Elephas maximus indicus: one gene and its partner. Each later gene encodes a partner of the first gene's protein in a complex. Links are inferred from orthologs where the notes say so. Each region holds a gene or a part of one and is shown on either strand. Other genes may lie near its edges.

Region 1 (6,902 bases):
ACAGTTTAACTTATAAATATCATTTTGTGGACACTCTCAGTAACCACACAGAATTCGGCTTAGAATTACTTACTGATCTCTACGTGAGACCATCTCATGAGCCCAGGAGCAAACCAAACTGACACTATACTGAGGGCTGTGTTCACATCAGATGCCACAGTAAGAAGGCATAAGGTGATAAAGCAAGACATATGGAGGAATGTGGGGACTCTGTGAGAGAGAAAAGTACGGAGCAGGGCCTAAGAACAGGGGATATGAATCCTAGCTCTGCTACTTCAGCTTTGTGGACCTGAAGCAAGTTAGTAAAGCTTTCTGAAAAGCAGGGTAGGATTGTTATGAAGTTTAAATGAGACAGTATGTGTGAAGCACTTAAGAACAATGCCTAGCACGTTGTAAACGCTCAATAAATATTAACTGTTTACTATTACTATTATAAACTGGTTAGTAGTTGACAGTAGGTGGGAAGGTAACATTGGATTTGAACAGTTCAGGGAAGCAATCACTAAATGTTTGCGTAGTTCTGTATTTCCTCATAAACTTCTCTCTCCAGCTCTAATTCTTAGACTGACATACATACTTTTTTTCCTATAAAATTTCCCTCTCGTTCAGATTTTTGTTTTAACAGCATCAGTTCAAAATATTTGAAGGCAGCAACAGTAAAGCTAAATATAACCTCAAGTTAGGTCATTTTTGTATTACAAAATAATACCCGTGTTTCCAATTTGTGTAACCTAAACATTTCCTATTCACTTTCTTGCTGGTATAAGAGGAAGGCAGGATTTAAAGTGTTGCCTCACAGCATTTTCAGGAGCAGTGACAAAGGCTTTTCCTAATAGCATGGAGAGCCACCAATCAGCTGACAAGCTTGCCATGCACTGAGTTGGCTTTTAATGTTCTTTACCCTCCCCCATGACATCCACTGATCTCATGTTCTCTCTTAATTGCAAAGAACTAGGGCCTCTACTGCTCTGGGGCTACAAAATCTATGCTCTGGTTAAATACTGCAAATTGATTGCCTGTTTGCCACGTCTACCCCAGGATGTTTTTAGTTTGCCCTGCAATGTTTTAAGTATTGGTTGTCAACATTTAAAAATCCAGAGGTTTTACACAAAAATCCAGCTCTTAGTTTAATCTTGGGAAAACAAAAACAACACTGACTATCTCAAAAACACTGAACCAGGTCTTTGAACCTTTTCTGGTTGAAACCTCTGCTGATAATTTGCATTTCTAACAAGTTCCCAGGCGATGCTGATGCTGCTGGTTAGGGACCAATTCTGAGAACCACTTAGCAGAGCAGTGGTTCTTAAAATTTATTATACATTAAGAATCACCAGGGGGTTTTATTAAAATGTAGATTCTAATTCAGTTTATCTGGGATAGAAATGCAAATTCTCAGCAGGGGTTCGAACCTGAACTAACTGGTTGGAAGCCCTGCACTGAACCCACATTCCTGAGGGCAACAATCTGCTAGGGCTGAGGAGCAGCTGCTCATTTTAGTTCCGGCAGGGATACTCCAAGTTGCCATATTCTCTATCATTCGCCATTGTCTTACACCAGGCCAGTTTCACTCATTTGCTTTACTTGTCTAGACTTTTCCTGTCTCCCATCAAAGCTTACTTTGTTCTATCCCAAGTCCTTCATCAGACTTTCCAAGCCAACTGCTAGGCAGTCTGATCAAATGAGTACTTTTACATGTGCTTTCTGGAGACAGCATCTTGAAAGTAGTGAGCCTGTAGGTGGAAATTACAGGTCCCAGGGAATCATAATCAGCATGGCAACTGTCTACTCTACTTTCCCTGCTATCCTGATGTAGCCACACCTCACTGTCCTCTGACAAAAACAAAAAAAACAAAAAAAAAACCTGGCTCTCCAGTAGAGCAATGAAGGCTGGACAATGTGTGAAATCTACTCAAATAGTGCTTTTATAGACGACCCTGGTTCCGGAGGACCCAAAGGCACTCAGGGCTATGCTGACTCCGCTTCCTTAGAGATCTCAGGATATCCGGCCTGACGGCATCTCCCCTCACCTGCTTTTGGCCCCTTCTGCACCGGGCAGTGGCGCCCAAGGAGTGCGCGCATCCAGAATGAGCTCATTTCTTAGGGGCGTTTCCAGAAGGCCCAGCTGGGCCGTGCGCATGAGGCGTAGTCAGCCTCGCGCTGTCAATGGTCCCCGCGGCCGGGCGGGGCGCGGCTGCCCGGGGGCGCTGCTTTTCTGGAAGCTTTGTCCCCACTTTCGTGTCTGAGAAATCGCAGCCGGCCGGAGGGGTCCCTTGGGGCCTCCTGGGGAAGACGCAGGTCCTCGGGACGCGCGATCTCAGGCTGAAGGATGGCTCGGGCGCAGAGACTTAGCCGCACCCCGCCGAGAGCCTCCAGGGAGTGCGGAGAGCCCCCGACCCTTCGCTGGCTTAAGCACTAGCAGAGCCCAGCTCCGCCGACCACGGGTTTGGGACAGGCTGCGCGAAGCGGGTGCGCGGAAAGCCCGCGCTCCCTGTCTGCGGCTTTCCTACGGGTTGGGAGCAGCCGCCAGCGAGTAGGCGACACCGCCCGCCACGACCCCAGACGAGCTCCTAGCGCCTGGGGCCGCCGCCGTAGGTTGTAGGCCAATCACACTGCAGCTAGGTCTTGCGATAGGAGAGCCGTCAGTGCCGATTGGCTATCGCAACGAGTTTCGGCCTCCCTCCCATTCCCTCCGCTCTAAAGCTTCAAGCCAATAAGAAGGCGCTTTATAAACGTCCTCCCTTAGCTTTCTTCTTCTCCCCCCCTCGGCTAGGGAAGAGCAGTTCTGATTGGTTAGACTCTCCTCGGATGCCCCCTTTCCTCCTCCAATCACCGAGTGAGGGACACGCCCAGCAGAGTTTTTCAGCCAATTACAAAGCGGCCGCGGCTCTCAGCAGTACAGTTTCACCTGGAACTCTGGGTTTCACCGACCTTAACTCTTCATGCTTTTTCCAGAGAGACGGCGGCTCTGATTGGCTACTGTTGCCGCCGTCGAATTTCTCCTTCAGCCAGCCACAAAACAAGGCGAATCCCCCTTGCTCCCGTTCGGTTATCCTCGGCATTTTCCGCTCCTCGGGCGTGGATTTCCGGCGGCACTCTCCAATTGGCTCTTCAGGTCGATCGGCTTTTTCCGGGAGGAGCCGCAAACAAACGACGCCCGTGATTGGCCCCGCTCGGGCTTCGGCTCCCCAGCCGAAGGGGGCGGGCGCGGGGCTCGGCCGGCGATTCCCAGACGCCTGTTACGCGGGCGGCGGGGCGCTGGGCGGTGTAAGGCTGGGTGGGGGAGGAAGGAGGCGGAGGACGAGCAGCAGGGGGGAGGGGGTGCGGCGAGGAGCTAGGCGACTGCGCAGACGGCTCGCCTCACACAGAGCAGCCCCCGAGCCGGGCGAATGCGGGCTTGTGCCGCCGCCGCAGCCCGGGCCGAGTGACAAAGGAAGGAAGGAAGGAAGGAAGCGAGGAGGAGCCGGCCCGCAGCCGCTGACAGTGCTCCGGGCTGGGGCCGCAGCGCGGACGCTTCCTGAGCGGACGCCGAGCCGAGGCGAGGGCCGGGAGGGCGGCCGCGCTGGGGCCGCGGACGGGGAGGGGGCCCCGAGGGACGGAAGCGGCGGCCGCGTTCCCATGTCCCCCGCGTATGGGGAGCAGCCGAGGAGCCGCTGCCTGGGGTCTGAAGGGAGCTGCCTCCGCCGCCGCCGCCGCCATGGCCGCTGGATCCAGCCGCCGCCTGCAGCTGCTCCTGGCGCAATGAGGAGGGGAGCCGCCAGCGCCGCCGCCGCCGCCCGCGTCTGAGCACCTCGCCCTCGGCCGCCGCCGCCGCCGCCGCCGCCGCCGCCGGGCCCGTCTCCAGGCCGCCGGGGCCGCAGCGCTTCCCGTGGCCTCGCCGAGCCACCCCCTCCCCCTGCTCCCCTCCCCCCGCGGCCGGCGGGAGACTCGTGATCCTTCCGCCGCTTCCCTTCTTCATTGACTCGGAAAAAAAATCCCCGAGGAAAAGACAATCTTCACAGGACTTATTTTCAATCAAGTATTTGCCCTGCTGCACGTGATAGGTATTTTTTAGGAGCTTTCTTTTTTCCTCCCCGCCTCCTCCCTGAAAGGGAGGGAGAAGAATTGTATTTTTTTCACCCAAATCATCTATATGTTAAATATCTATACCGATCTGTCTTGAAGGAGAAATCCATCTTTTTTTTTTTTTTGATAATATAAAAGGAGTGCAAAGCCAAGAGGACGAAGTCTTTTTCTTTTTCCCGGGGAGAACTTAATGCTGCATTTATCATTAACCTAACACCCCAACATAAAACAATAGGAAGACAAGAGGAAGGAAGGAAAAGGTGATTCGGGAAGAGAGTGATCATGTCAGGGCGGCCCAGAACCACCTCCTTTGCGGAGAGCTGCAAGCCAGTGCAGCAGCCTTCGGCTTTTGGCAGCATGAAAGTTAGCAGTGAGTATTGATTTTAATTTACAACCCTTTCTCCACGTCGCCCTTAAAATAAGAAACCTTGAAATAGGATTTTAAGGGACTAGACTTGGTAAGAGGCAACCTGGTAATGGAAAAGGATAGAACCTGTCTTCAGTCTAGGATGAGGCAGCTCCCTCTTTTCTCCTCCCAAACCCCTCCCCCGGTCTTATTAACCTTGAATGACAGAATGGGATTTTTTACTTGGATCATTCGATTTGAAACACTGCTTATACTTTTCTTGGCTGTTGTTAGTCCGCTTCACCAAGTGCTTGAGTGTTTGCTCGTTAAAACAGTGATGGAAAGTGTTTACTTGTTCATCCTTTTGAATAAAGAGAAGGACAGGACTTGATTCGTAAACCATTATGCACATTTGCAGAGTGGATGTCTTTTGGCGCATTTTAGTTAGCGCAGCTCTCAGGGGTCATCATAGTTTTGCATACTTAATGGAGACACTAAAAGTCCCAATCTCCTAACCTTTTTTTTCTTGCCTGTGCGACTATACAGAGTATTTGTTCTCCGCCCTGCGGGCTGAACTTACTCAGTGACCAGCGGTCACGTTTGGAGGCAGCCTTGGTTCCTCCTCTGGAAGGGGCCCGGGGAGCCCACAGATGGGAGCACCCCTGCTCGCATTGTCTTCAGTTGTTTAAGTGGTTGAATGTGCTATCGTTAATTTTTCCGTTTTGACACATTCGCAGTTCGCCACTGTATAATTTATGTTTCATCAGAAGGCAACTTGGAAGTAGGTCCCAGTTTCGACTGAGGTTTGTAGTAAACCGAATTGCCAAATAACTGTCACTGACGCATTGCTATCTAAGTTCGCGTTCCCAAAATTGAATTGCATTTGTTACTTGTTCCAGGGGGTCCCTTTTTAGGGCTATTTAAGATACTCTTTCAGTGGTTTCCTCACATTTAGATAATACGGACTTAGTTATAAGACTATCGATTTAGCCCTTCCGTCATAACTTTTGCAGAATGCTGTGGTCCTGGATGTAAGAGGACTATTTGGGCTGTGTTCAGAGTTGTCGCCAGGCTGTATGTACTCTCGTGCCTGGTTTGTGCAGAAAAGTTGAGGTTCTTGAAGTCGTTGCTTTAAGGAATATAACATTGTTCCAATGTATCAGAGTTTGTGGAGATGTTTATTGTATCTTTGATAATGGTGTCTAATGACAACTTATTTAAATACACTTACAGAATTTGATAAGCATGTGTAGGTGGTTTTCTTTATTCCTGAACAAAAGGGATACGCTGAGGGCAAAGGCAAACCATCTTGTTGCTTAGAGGAACTGAGAGAACTGAAGAAGTGAGATATTAAAAGTACATGCTGGCTTGTGAAATTGACTATATCCTTAAGCAACATAAAATGATCGCTTTTAATTGAATTCAAAATTTCAAATCATGTTGGCTTTTGGAACTTGCCTGAAACAGGGTAGGCCAAGGTAATAGCTGAATGGGAGATTTTTTTTGAAAGTTAATTTTTTTCCCCCCTAGTGACTAGCTAATAGAGAATGCAGTGACTAGTAGAGAAGAGGGAAGCTGATGCATCTTTCAGGGAAGGGTCAAGCTTTCTAGGCATTTCATGGGGTCATTTGAAAGGAATATTTAAAAATTCTGGCGTAATTTTCAGCTATGATGAAGCAAATCTTATAATAGCTGCCTAAGAGCCTCTTGTGGTACTGGAGTGTTTGTACGTTTTACATCTTGGTAACATAGTTTAAAAACCACTTGAGATCAATTTTAGGTAATTAACTCATTAGATTTATTTCAGAGAGCAAAATAAAATATCCTATAATGCTAAGCTTTTGGGCTTTTCGTTTCGTTTCCAGGATTTTCTTTGCTTTCCTAATTCTTGGTATTGTGATGTTGACTGAGGATGGAGTAGCTTTTATAAAGTATGTAAAGTGTGTGATTTTCTGTTATTGTATAGGTCAACTAAACATTTAAAAATTAGGAGTTTAATGCTAATTATGTGTTTTTGATAACTTTGACTCTAAGGACATTTTAGAAGAAAGAGGAGTTAAGCATTTTCTGAGTGCTAGCGTTCTAAGGAACTTCTGTTCAAAAGAGAGATACGTAAGACATTGTGGTCCTTAGACTCAAGAGCTTCTGAGAAAGAAGATGAAAACAATAGCGTGATGACTGCAAGATGATAAAAGATAAGTCCCATCCTTTGTTCTGAGGGACAAAGAGTTGAGGGGTGAGGCTGATGGGTTGGAGAGGGAAGACATCCTGTGGAAGGTGCTTTTGAAGACTGGTGTTAAAGGAGGCAGTAACTTGAATTGATAGCGAAGCCTGAGGGATTCTAGGTGGAAGGAATGGACCGAGGCTCAGGCGGTGATTTTTGTATGGGAGACAGCAAGGAAGTTGGCAAATCTGAATTAAAGAGGACTAAGTATGTTTTTTTAAGTAAGAAAATAGGAAGCGCTGGAAGTTGAGAAATATAGGAAGGCTAGCT
Region 2 (7,606 bases), on another chromosome or scaffold:
ACTGTCCCGCTTTCACACGTATATGATGTGATTGAAAATACCACGGCTTGGGTCAGGCGCACCTTAGTCTTCAAGGTGGCATCTTTGCTCTTCGACACTTTAAAGAGGTCCTTTGTAGCAGATTTACCCAATGCAACGCATCTTTTGATTTCTTGACTGCTGCTTCCATGGCCGTTGATTGTGGATCCAAGTAAAATGAAATCCTTGACAACTTCAATCTTTTCTCCGTTTATCATGATGTTGCTCATTGGTCCAGTTGTGAGGATTTTTGTTTTCTTTATGTTGAGGTGCAATCCATACTGAAGGCTGTGGTCTTTGATCTTCATTAGTAATTGCTTCAAGTCCTCTTCACTTTCAGCCAGCAAGGTTGTGTCATCTGCGTAACGCAGGTTGTTAATAAGTCTTCCTCCAATCCTGATGCGCCATTCTTCTTCATATAGTCCATCTTCTCAGATTATTTGCTCAGCCTACAGATCGAGTAGGTATGGTGAAAGAATACAACCCTGACACACACCTTTCCTGACTTTAAACCCATCAGTATCCCCTTGTTCCGTTTGAACTGCCTCTGGATCTATGTAAAGGTTCTTCATGAGCACAATTAAGTGTTCTGGAATTCCCATTCTTCACAATTTATCCATAATTTGTTATGATCCACACAGTCGAATGTCTTTGCATAGTCAATAAAACACAGGTAAACATCCTTCTCATATTCTCTGCTTTCAGCCAGGATCCATCTGACATCAGCAATGATATCCCTGGTTCCACGTCCTCCTCTGAAACCGGCCTGAATTTCTGGCAGTTCCCTGTCGATATACTGCTGCAGCCGTTTTTGAATGCTCTTCAGCAAAATTTTGCTTGCGTGTGATATTAATGATATTGTTCTATAATTTCCACATTCGGCTGGATCACCTTTGTTGGGAAACGGTAGCTTTCGGGACCCCACAATCTGTAAAACAATGCTCTACCCAGAATGAAATTCCAAAAAGAAGTTTGTCAAAAGTAAAAGATTCAGATTGATTCATGTGATGATTTTCTTTATATAATATTTTATTGTGTTTTTGGTGAATGTTTACACAGCAAATTAGGTTCCCACTTAACAATTTCTATATAAATTGCTCAGTGACATTGGTTACATTTTTCACAAAACCAACCAAACCAAACCCAGTGCTGTCAAGTTGATTCCGACTCATAGCAACCCTATAGGACAGAGTAGAACTGCCCCATAGGGTTTCCAAGAAAAGCCTGGCAGATTCGAACTGCCGACCCTTTGGTTAGCAGCTGTAGCACTTAACCACTAGGCCACCAGGGTTTCCCATTTTTCATAGTGTATCGAAATTATCATTATTTCCATTCTGGTTATTCTGTTTCCATTAATCAAATTTCCCTGCCCCCCTCTCCTTACCTTCTCATCTTTCTTTAGAGTATATGTTGACAAGTTTGGTCTCACACAGATGATTTTTCAAAGGAGCACAGTACTCACAGGTGATACTGTTTATTTTATAAGCTGTCATGGATTAGGAAACCCTGGTGGCATAGTGGTCAAGTACTACAGCTGCTAACCAAACGGTCGCCAGTTCGAATCCTCCAGGCGCTCCTTGGAAACTCTATGGGGCAGTTCTACTCTGTCCTATAGAGTCGCAGTGAGTTGGAATCAACACCACGGCACTGGGTTTTTTGGGTAATGGGTTGAATTATGTCCCCCCAAAAATGTGAGTATCAACTTGGTTAGGCCATGATTCCCAGTATTGTGTGGTTGTCCTCCATTTTGTGATTCTAATTTTATGTTGAGAGGATCAGGGTAGGATTGTAACACCACTCTTATTCAGGTCACCTCTCTGATCCAATGTAAAGGGAGTTTCCCTGGGATGTGGCCTGCACCACATTTTGGAGATTAAACGAAAGAGAAGCAACCAGAGTTGAGGACCTCATACCACTAAGAAAGCCTTCCCCTGGAGCTGACGCCCTGAATTTGGACTTGTAACCTACTAGGCTGTGAGAAAATGAATTTCTTTTTGTTAAAGCCATCCACTTGTGGTATTTCTGTTATGGCAGCGCTAGATGACTAAGGCAGCAGTCATACCATTTTCAACCCCAGAAAAACGCTTGAAGCTTATAAATCCTGAACCAAAGAATAAAAACAGAGATTAGAAACTGCTCCTATTTATTTTCATCTTAAAATTTTAAAGAATCAGGTTCAGAATAGTATAGCTAATAAATGGCTGCTTTGACCACATTCTCAAATGAACAATTTAAAATAAGTTGTTGGTCTTTTCACGATAAAAACACTCGAAAAATCAGGAATGGAAGGAAACATTTACAACCTAATAAAGGTCACCCATTCCAAAGAAACACGATTCAACAGAACGCAGAAATTATCAAGCAATATCATGCACAAGTAAAATTTTGCTGAAGATCGTTCAAAAAGGGCTGCAGCACTATATAAACAGGGAACTGCCAGAAATTTGCCAGGATTCACAAGAGTACATGGAACAAGGGATATCATTGCTGATGTCAGATGAATACTGGCCGAAAGCAGAGAATACCAGAAAGATGTTTACCTGTGTTTTATTGACTATGCAAAGACATATGACTGTGTGGATCATAGCAAATTATGGGCAACACTGTGAAGAATGGGAATTCCAGAACGCTTAATTGTGCTCATGTGGAACCTGTGCATAGACCAAGAGGCAGTCTTTCAAACAGAACAAGCTGAATACTGCCTGGTTTAAAACCAGGAACAGTATGAAAGTGTTGTATCCTTTCACCGCACTTATTCAATCTGTATGTTGAGCAGATAATCTGAGAAGCTAGACTATGTGAAAAAGAACAGGGCATCCCGTTTGGAGAAAGACTCATTAACAAACTGAAATACGCAAATGACACAACCTTGTTTACTGAAAGTGAAGAGGACATGAAGCACTTACTGATGAAGATCAAAGACCACAGCCTTCAGCATGGATTCCGCCTCAACATAAAGAAAACAAAAATCCTCACAACTGGACCAATGAGCAACATCATGATAAATGGAGAAAATACTGAAGTTGTCCAGGATTTCATTCCATTCCACCACTTCCTAAAGGATTATTACTCTAAGTGTCATCCTCAGCACCACTCACCAATACCCTCGATTTCTACTTGTTATCTGGATCCCTGGCCCCCAATCTTTCCCTCTTGCATCCCCTTTCTAAAGCATCCCCCTCTGTTATCGATAAAGTAACAAGCACCCTGTTGCTTTGCACAGAGTCCGAACTCTCCTTGTTGGATTCTGTGTGTTTGTGGGTGTGTGCTTTGTGGCTAATTTTTAAAACAACTTTAAAACCAGTTGCTGTTGAGTAGATTCCAATTCACACCGACCCCACGTGTATCAGACAGAACTGTGTTCCGTAGGATTTTCAGTGGCTGATTTTTTGGAAATAGATCTCCAGTCCTTTCTTATGAGATGCCTCTGGGTGGACTCAAACCTCCAACCTTTTGCTTAGCAGCCAAGCAGGCTTCCTAAACAACTTTTCCAAAATGTAATTTATATGCAGTAAAATTCAGTCATCTGAAGAGAACTTTCAATTATTTTTAGTGAATTTACTTAGTGGTGCAGCCATCACCATAATTCAGTTGGTGATGGCCTGGTTGGCTTTTAAAGGCAGGTCCACCAAAAGCTTACCTATAAATGCAGTGTCTGAAAGTTAGGCCTGGAGGGCTTGGAATTTTGAATAACAGTCCAAAATCCCCAAGCAACATGACACTAAAGGATCATTTTCTGCTCCTTTGGTTAAAAATGAAGTCTTGGTTTACCACTAAGCCAACCATAATATCTACAAAGGTTAAGCTAACCCACATCTCCATTTTTAACCAAACAGCTTTCCATTTTCCCCTCCTGCTAGCACCTCAGCAGGGATCCTCCCTACTGGGCTGCGGAATTTTTCTTAAAAGAAGCCTTTCTAGCTCACGGCCCCCCCCAAGCCCGTCAACCTTCTCCTCTGTCTTCAGCAACTCCAGCCCTAGTCCAGGCCCCCCACGCCCATCCGCCTGATCAAGAAACACTAATCACCTTAATGTGTGGCCTGTCTTTGCCAATTCCAACTCCGCCATTACCACTTGCACCGAAGTGTCCCTTCCTACCTTCCATCCCAGTCAGCCTTGTTTTCCTAACCTCTAGCCAGGCCCTCTGCCTGGCTCCCCCACCTCTCCATCTTTGCCTCTCCAGCACTTCTCGTCATCACTCTCCAAGCACCAGCACCCAGGATCACGAAAGCGCGAAGGTTAAAACAATATTTGTCGCGCCGAGAGAAGGGGTGTGTGTTGGTGTGTGTCTAAGTGTATGTGCTTGTGTGTGGAAGAAACCAATGGTGTCCGCGTCGGTGTCCAACTTCTGGAAATGCCTATCACTGCTGGCTAAGAAAGCCAGGATCAGCTCCCCAGTGCACTCCCGCACACCGCACTCGGCCATCCTGAGCTCAGAGGCAGCAGGGCTTCAACCTGAACCCCAGACCTGCAGGACCCCTGCCCTCGAATGACACACCACCCCCAGTCCCCGCGCTGTGGTAGGGCCGGGCGCTACGTCACCCATTGTTTACAAATCTAACAGCGGGTAGAATTCTGGCTCCCGCGACTGCAGGCGCGCAGCGAGCGCCTGGCGGGCTCCGGCTTCCTAGTCCTCCGCATCCCCGGCCCTGGCTTTGGCGTCAGGATCACTCCCGGCTCTGCTGCGGCCCACCGAACCCTAACGGGAGCCGGGCCGCCGACGACGCCTGCAGAGCTCCGGGTGCCCGGGCCGGGGGCCATGCCGTGCCGCAGGGAGGAAGAAGAGAAAGCCGGCGAGGAAGCGGAGGGGGAGGAAAAAGAGCAGGAGGATAGCTTTCTCCTGCTGGAGCAGCCAGCGAGGCTGGGCGGATCGGCCGAGGTGGACCGGCTAGTGGCCCAGATAGGCGAGGCGCTGCAGCTGGACCCGGCGCAGGACAGCCCGGCCTCCTTGTGCGCACCGCCGTGGCAGCCGCTGCAGCCACCGCTGCCCCTGGCTGAGGTGCCGGCGTACAGGGCCCGGCCCCCGGCGCTGCCGCTGCATCTGCCGCCCTCATCGGTCGAGGCCACGAACCTAGGAGCCCTGTATAGCACCTTCGGGGACTGCGGCAGCGTGCGGGACTGGGCTGCGCCCTACTTAGTGGCCGAGTTTGCCGCCGGCCCCACGGCGCTGTCACTACTACCCCCTCAGCCCGGCTTTGAAGGAACTCCCGGATCCGGCAAGCCGGGCGCCTCGCGGCAGCTGTCCGGGCGGTGCCGGCGAGGATGGCTCCGGGGTGCAGCCGCCTCCCGCCGTCTACGACAGCGACTCGGGCCCCGGGCCAAAGGCCGCACCAGCGACGACGACTCTCACCGTCTCCTGCAGCAGCTCCTACTCTCGGGAAACCTCATCAAGGAGGCAGTGCGGAGGCTTCGCTCGCGACGGCTGCATTTATATGCAAAGCTTCCCCAACGCCGGCTCCCGGGACCTGTGCTCCCCCGCAGCTCTCGCGCAGCCTGTAGTGACCCTGGCGCGTCCAGGAGGAGCGCGCCGCTCAGAACTGCAGACAGAGTTCTTGTCCCCAGCAGCTAACAAGCCCAGGGTACCCACAGCGCCAGCCTCAGACTAGGCGTCGGGGGTACCCACGGGACTGCAGCCCTGCTCGAGACTAACGGAGAACTCGCGCCTTTGAAAGCAGAAAATATAAGCTAATGAAGACGAGGAATAGGAAAATCGCGAAGGTTTCCGCGGGGAGCTGGGGACAAGCGCCCCTCTCTTTGAAATACAGGTCTTGGCCCTATTCAAGGCAGATTACATTTCGCAACCCCAGTCCTAATAAGACACGTACTGGTGGCGCAGCGTGCAGTTCCTTGCAGCTAGCTTCTCAGGGCCCTACAGCCTGGTGGCCATGTGACTACAGTCCACCCTACTCAGGACAGCAGAGCTCGGGAAGGACGCTGTCCAGGACCGGGGCCCGGACGCCCTCGTCGCGAGTCCAGCGGCCTCACTGGGCTCAGGCTGGAGGGCGATCCCAGTTACTTGATCAACCGTTTCAGGGCTGGTCCCTGATCCATTTTGAGGGAGGGAAACACAAATAGACATTGATAATTCCAGGGAGCACCTCAAACTGCCAGGCCTGAAATTTTACATTTAAAAAAGGACCTCATGTCTTTTGAAGTGCTCTTTCTTAATATAAAACGCACGTACCATGAAAGGAACCTTTGAGGGTTGAATAGGAGTAGCCTTTTTCTCTGCCCCTTCTTTGGGGCCGGCTGCTGTTTTCAGAGCCGTCGGGGAAGGCTGTACTCCTAGCCTGGGGACAGGAGAGTAGGACCCGGACAGGAGGTGTTGGGTGGTGGAAAGGTAGAGTGAGGCGGGGAGTGACCCGTCGGTCCTCTCTAAAGTGGCTTTTAACAGCCGCCCCGCCCCTCCTCCGGGTCAAGGTCAGTTTTCTGGTCGCACATAGCGGTGCCAGGCTCCAGCAGGGTAGAAGAGTCGCCGGGCTCTGCCTATACTCCGAGAAGTGCGCGGTGTTTTGCAATTGCTGGAGTCTCCTGAGGACACGCGCGCCGCCGCCACCGCGGGTGTGGAGAGGCTGGGCTGTGCCCGGAGCCTGTGCTTCCCACTGACGGCTGCCGCCCCTGGCCACGCTCTGGGCTGTCACGGACACTGTCCTGAGACGTGGCCCCAGATCCCACCTCTGTCCCTCGGCTCTCCTCTCCTACTCAAGCGGGTGGCGCGGGCGTTCCTGGGGGCCCGGGCTGGGGGCTGGGGAGACGCCACGTGACAGGCACTCCAGGGACAGCCTCTCACTGCAGCTTATAATGGGCTCTCCGGGGCTTTTTGCAATAACAGCTGCAATTTCCTGGATAGGAGTTGATTTCCTCCCTCTACCCCACCGCCAGCCATGCCCACTCGCCTTTGTAAGTGAAGTAAACCGAGTAGAAAATGCTACTCTCCAAATGGAGAAGCAGCAGGCTTTGCCTTTGTGAACCGTGGTGAAGTGCTTGGAGCACGCTGCGCACTCACTCCAAGGGAGCTAAAACCTTCTAGTTCTTGCTTTAGCTTTGTAGGAGTCAATGGCTTGTCCATCATCTGGATGTGGCTATCTACACTTGGCACTGGAGTGTCTGGAATTGTGGCTATCCTCATTATAGGATTTTATCTTAAATACGTTTTGAATAAATGTGTTGGGTTTTTGCTTGGTTTTATCCTTCCGCTCAGTGGAAAAGATGTACAGAACACATTTCTCTGATCTCCATAAACATGAAAACACCTGAAATCCCTGTCAGCCTGGCTTTGAGATGGTAATTACAGCGTCTTTGTGACTGAGGATCTCACTAGTTAGACAAGGTCTGTGCTGGGTGTGTATTGGTCCTGGCATGAAATTCAATGAAAGTGAGGTCAGGCTTTGGACCAATCCCATTCACCCAAACCTCAGAGCCATTTGGATTACTGTTTAGTAATGGAGATGATTTATGATTTTTTTTTTTCTGACTATGTTAGCAAGGGACATCAGATCAGTCATCGCAGACTGGGAAACATATCGTTTTTTTCTTACTAGTGCAGTCATTAAAGGATTCCCTGGGTGGTGCAAACATTAAGTGCTCG

Evidence for each region. Proteins that work in one complex are often made in the same cells at the same time.
Region 2: the proteins of GSK3B (region 1) and FRAT1 are in contact, whole or in part, in a crystal structure (PDB 5OY4), measured with the Homo sapiens proteins. The link is inferred for Elephas maximus indicus from reciprocal best matches to the Homo sapiens genes GSK3B and FRAT1. Residues at the interface, in NP_001139628.1 of Homo sapiens: Tyr216, Ile228, Phe229, Ser261, Gly262, Val263, Asp264, Leu266, Val267, Ile270, Lys271, Thr275, Pro276, Ile281, Tyr288, Thr289, Glu290, Phe291, Lys292, Phe293, Pro294, Ile296; in NP_005470.2 of Homo sapiens: His200, Leu202, Leu203, Leu206, Val207, Ser209, Gly210, Asn211, Leu212, Ile213, Lys214, Glu215, Ala216, Val217, Arg219, Leu220, His221.

Annotation. Positions count from the first base shown.
Region 1 is NC_064819.1:10,595,771-10,602,672, reverse strand, and holds the start of GSK3B (glycogen synthase kinase-3 beta), read left to right. Parts: upstream 1-3,888; 5' UTR 3,889-4,344; coding exon 4,345-4,432; intron 4,433-6,902. UniProt on the Homo sapiens protein: Constitutively active protein kinase that acts as a negative regulator in the hormonal control of glucose homeostasis, Wnt signaling and regulation of transcription factors and microtubules, by phosphorylating and inactivating glycogen synthase (GYS1 or GYS2), EIF2B, CTNNB1/beta-catenin, APC, AXIN1, DPYSL2/CRMP2, JUN, NFATC1/NFATC, MAPT/TAU and MACF1.
Region 2 is NC_064834.1:49,097,314-49,104,919, forward strand, and holds FRAT1 (proto-oncogene FRAT1), read left to right. Parts: upstream 1-4,587; 5' UTR 4,588-4,777; coding exon 4,778-5,587; 3' UTR 5,588-7,103; downstream 7,104-7,606. UniProt on the Homo sapiens protein: Positively regulates the Wnt signaling pathway by stabilizing beta-catenin through the association with GSK-3. May play a role in tumor progression and collaborate with PIM1 and MYC in lymphomagenesis.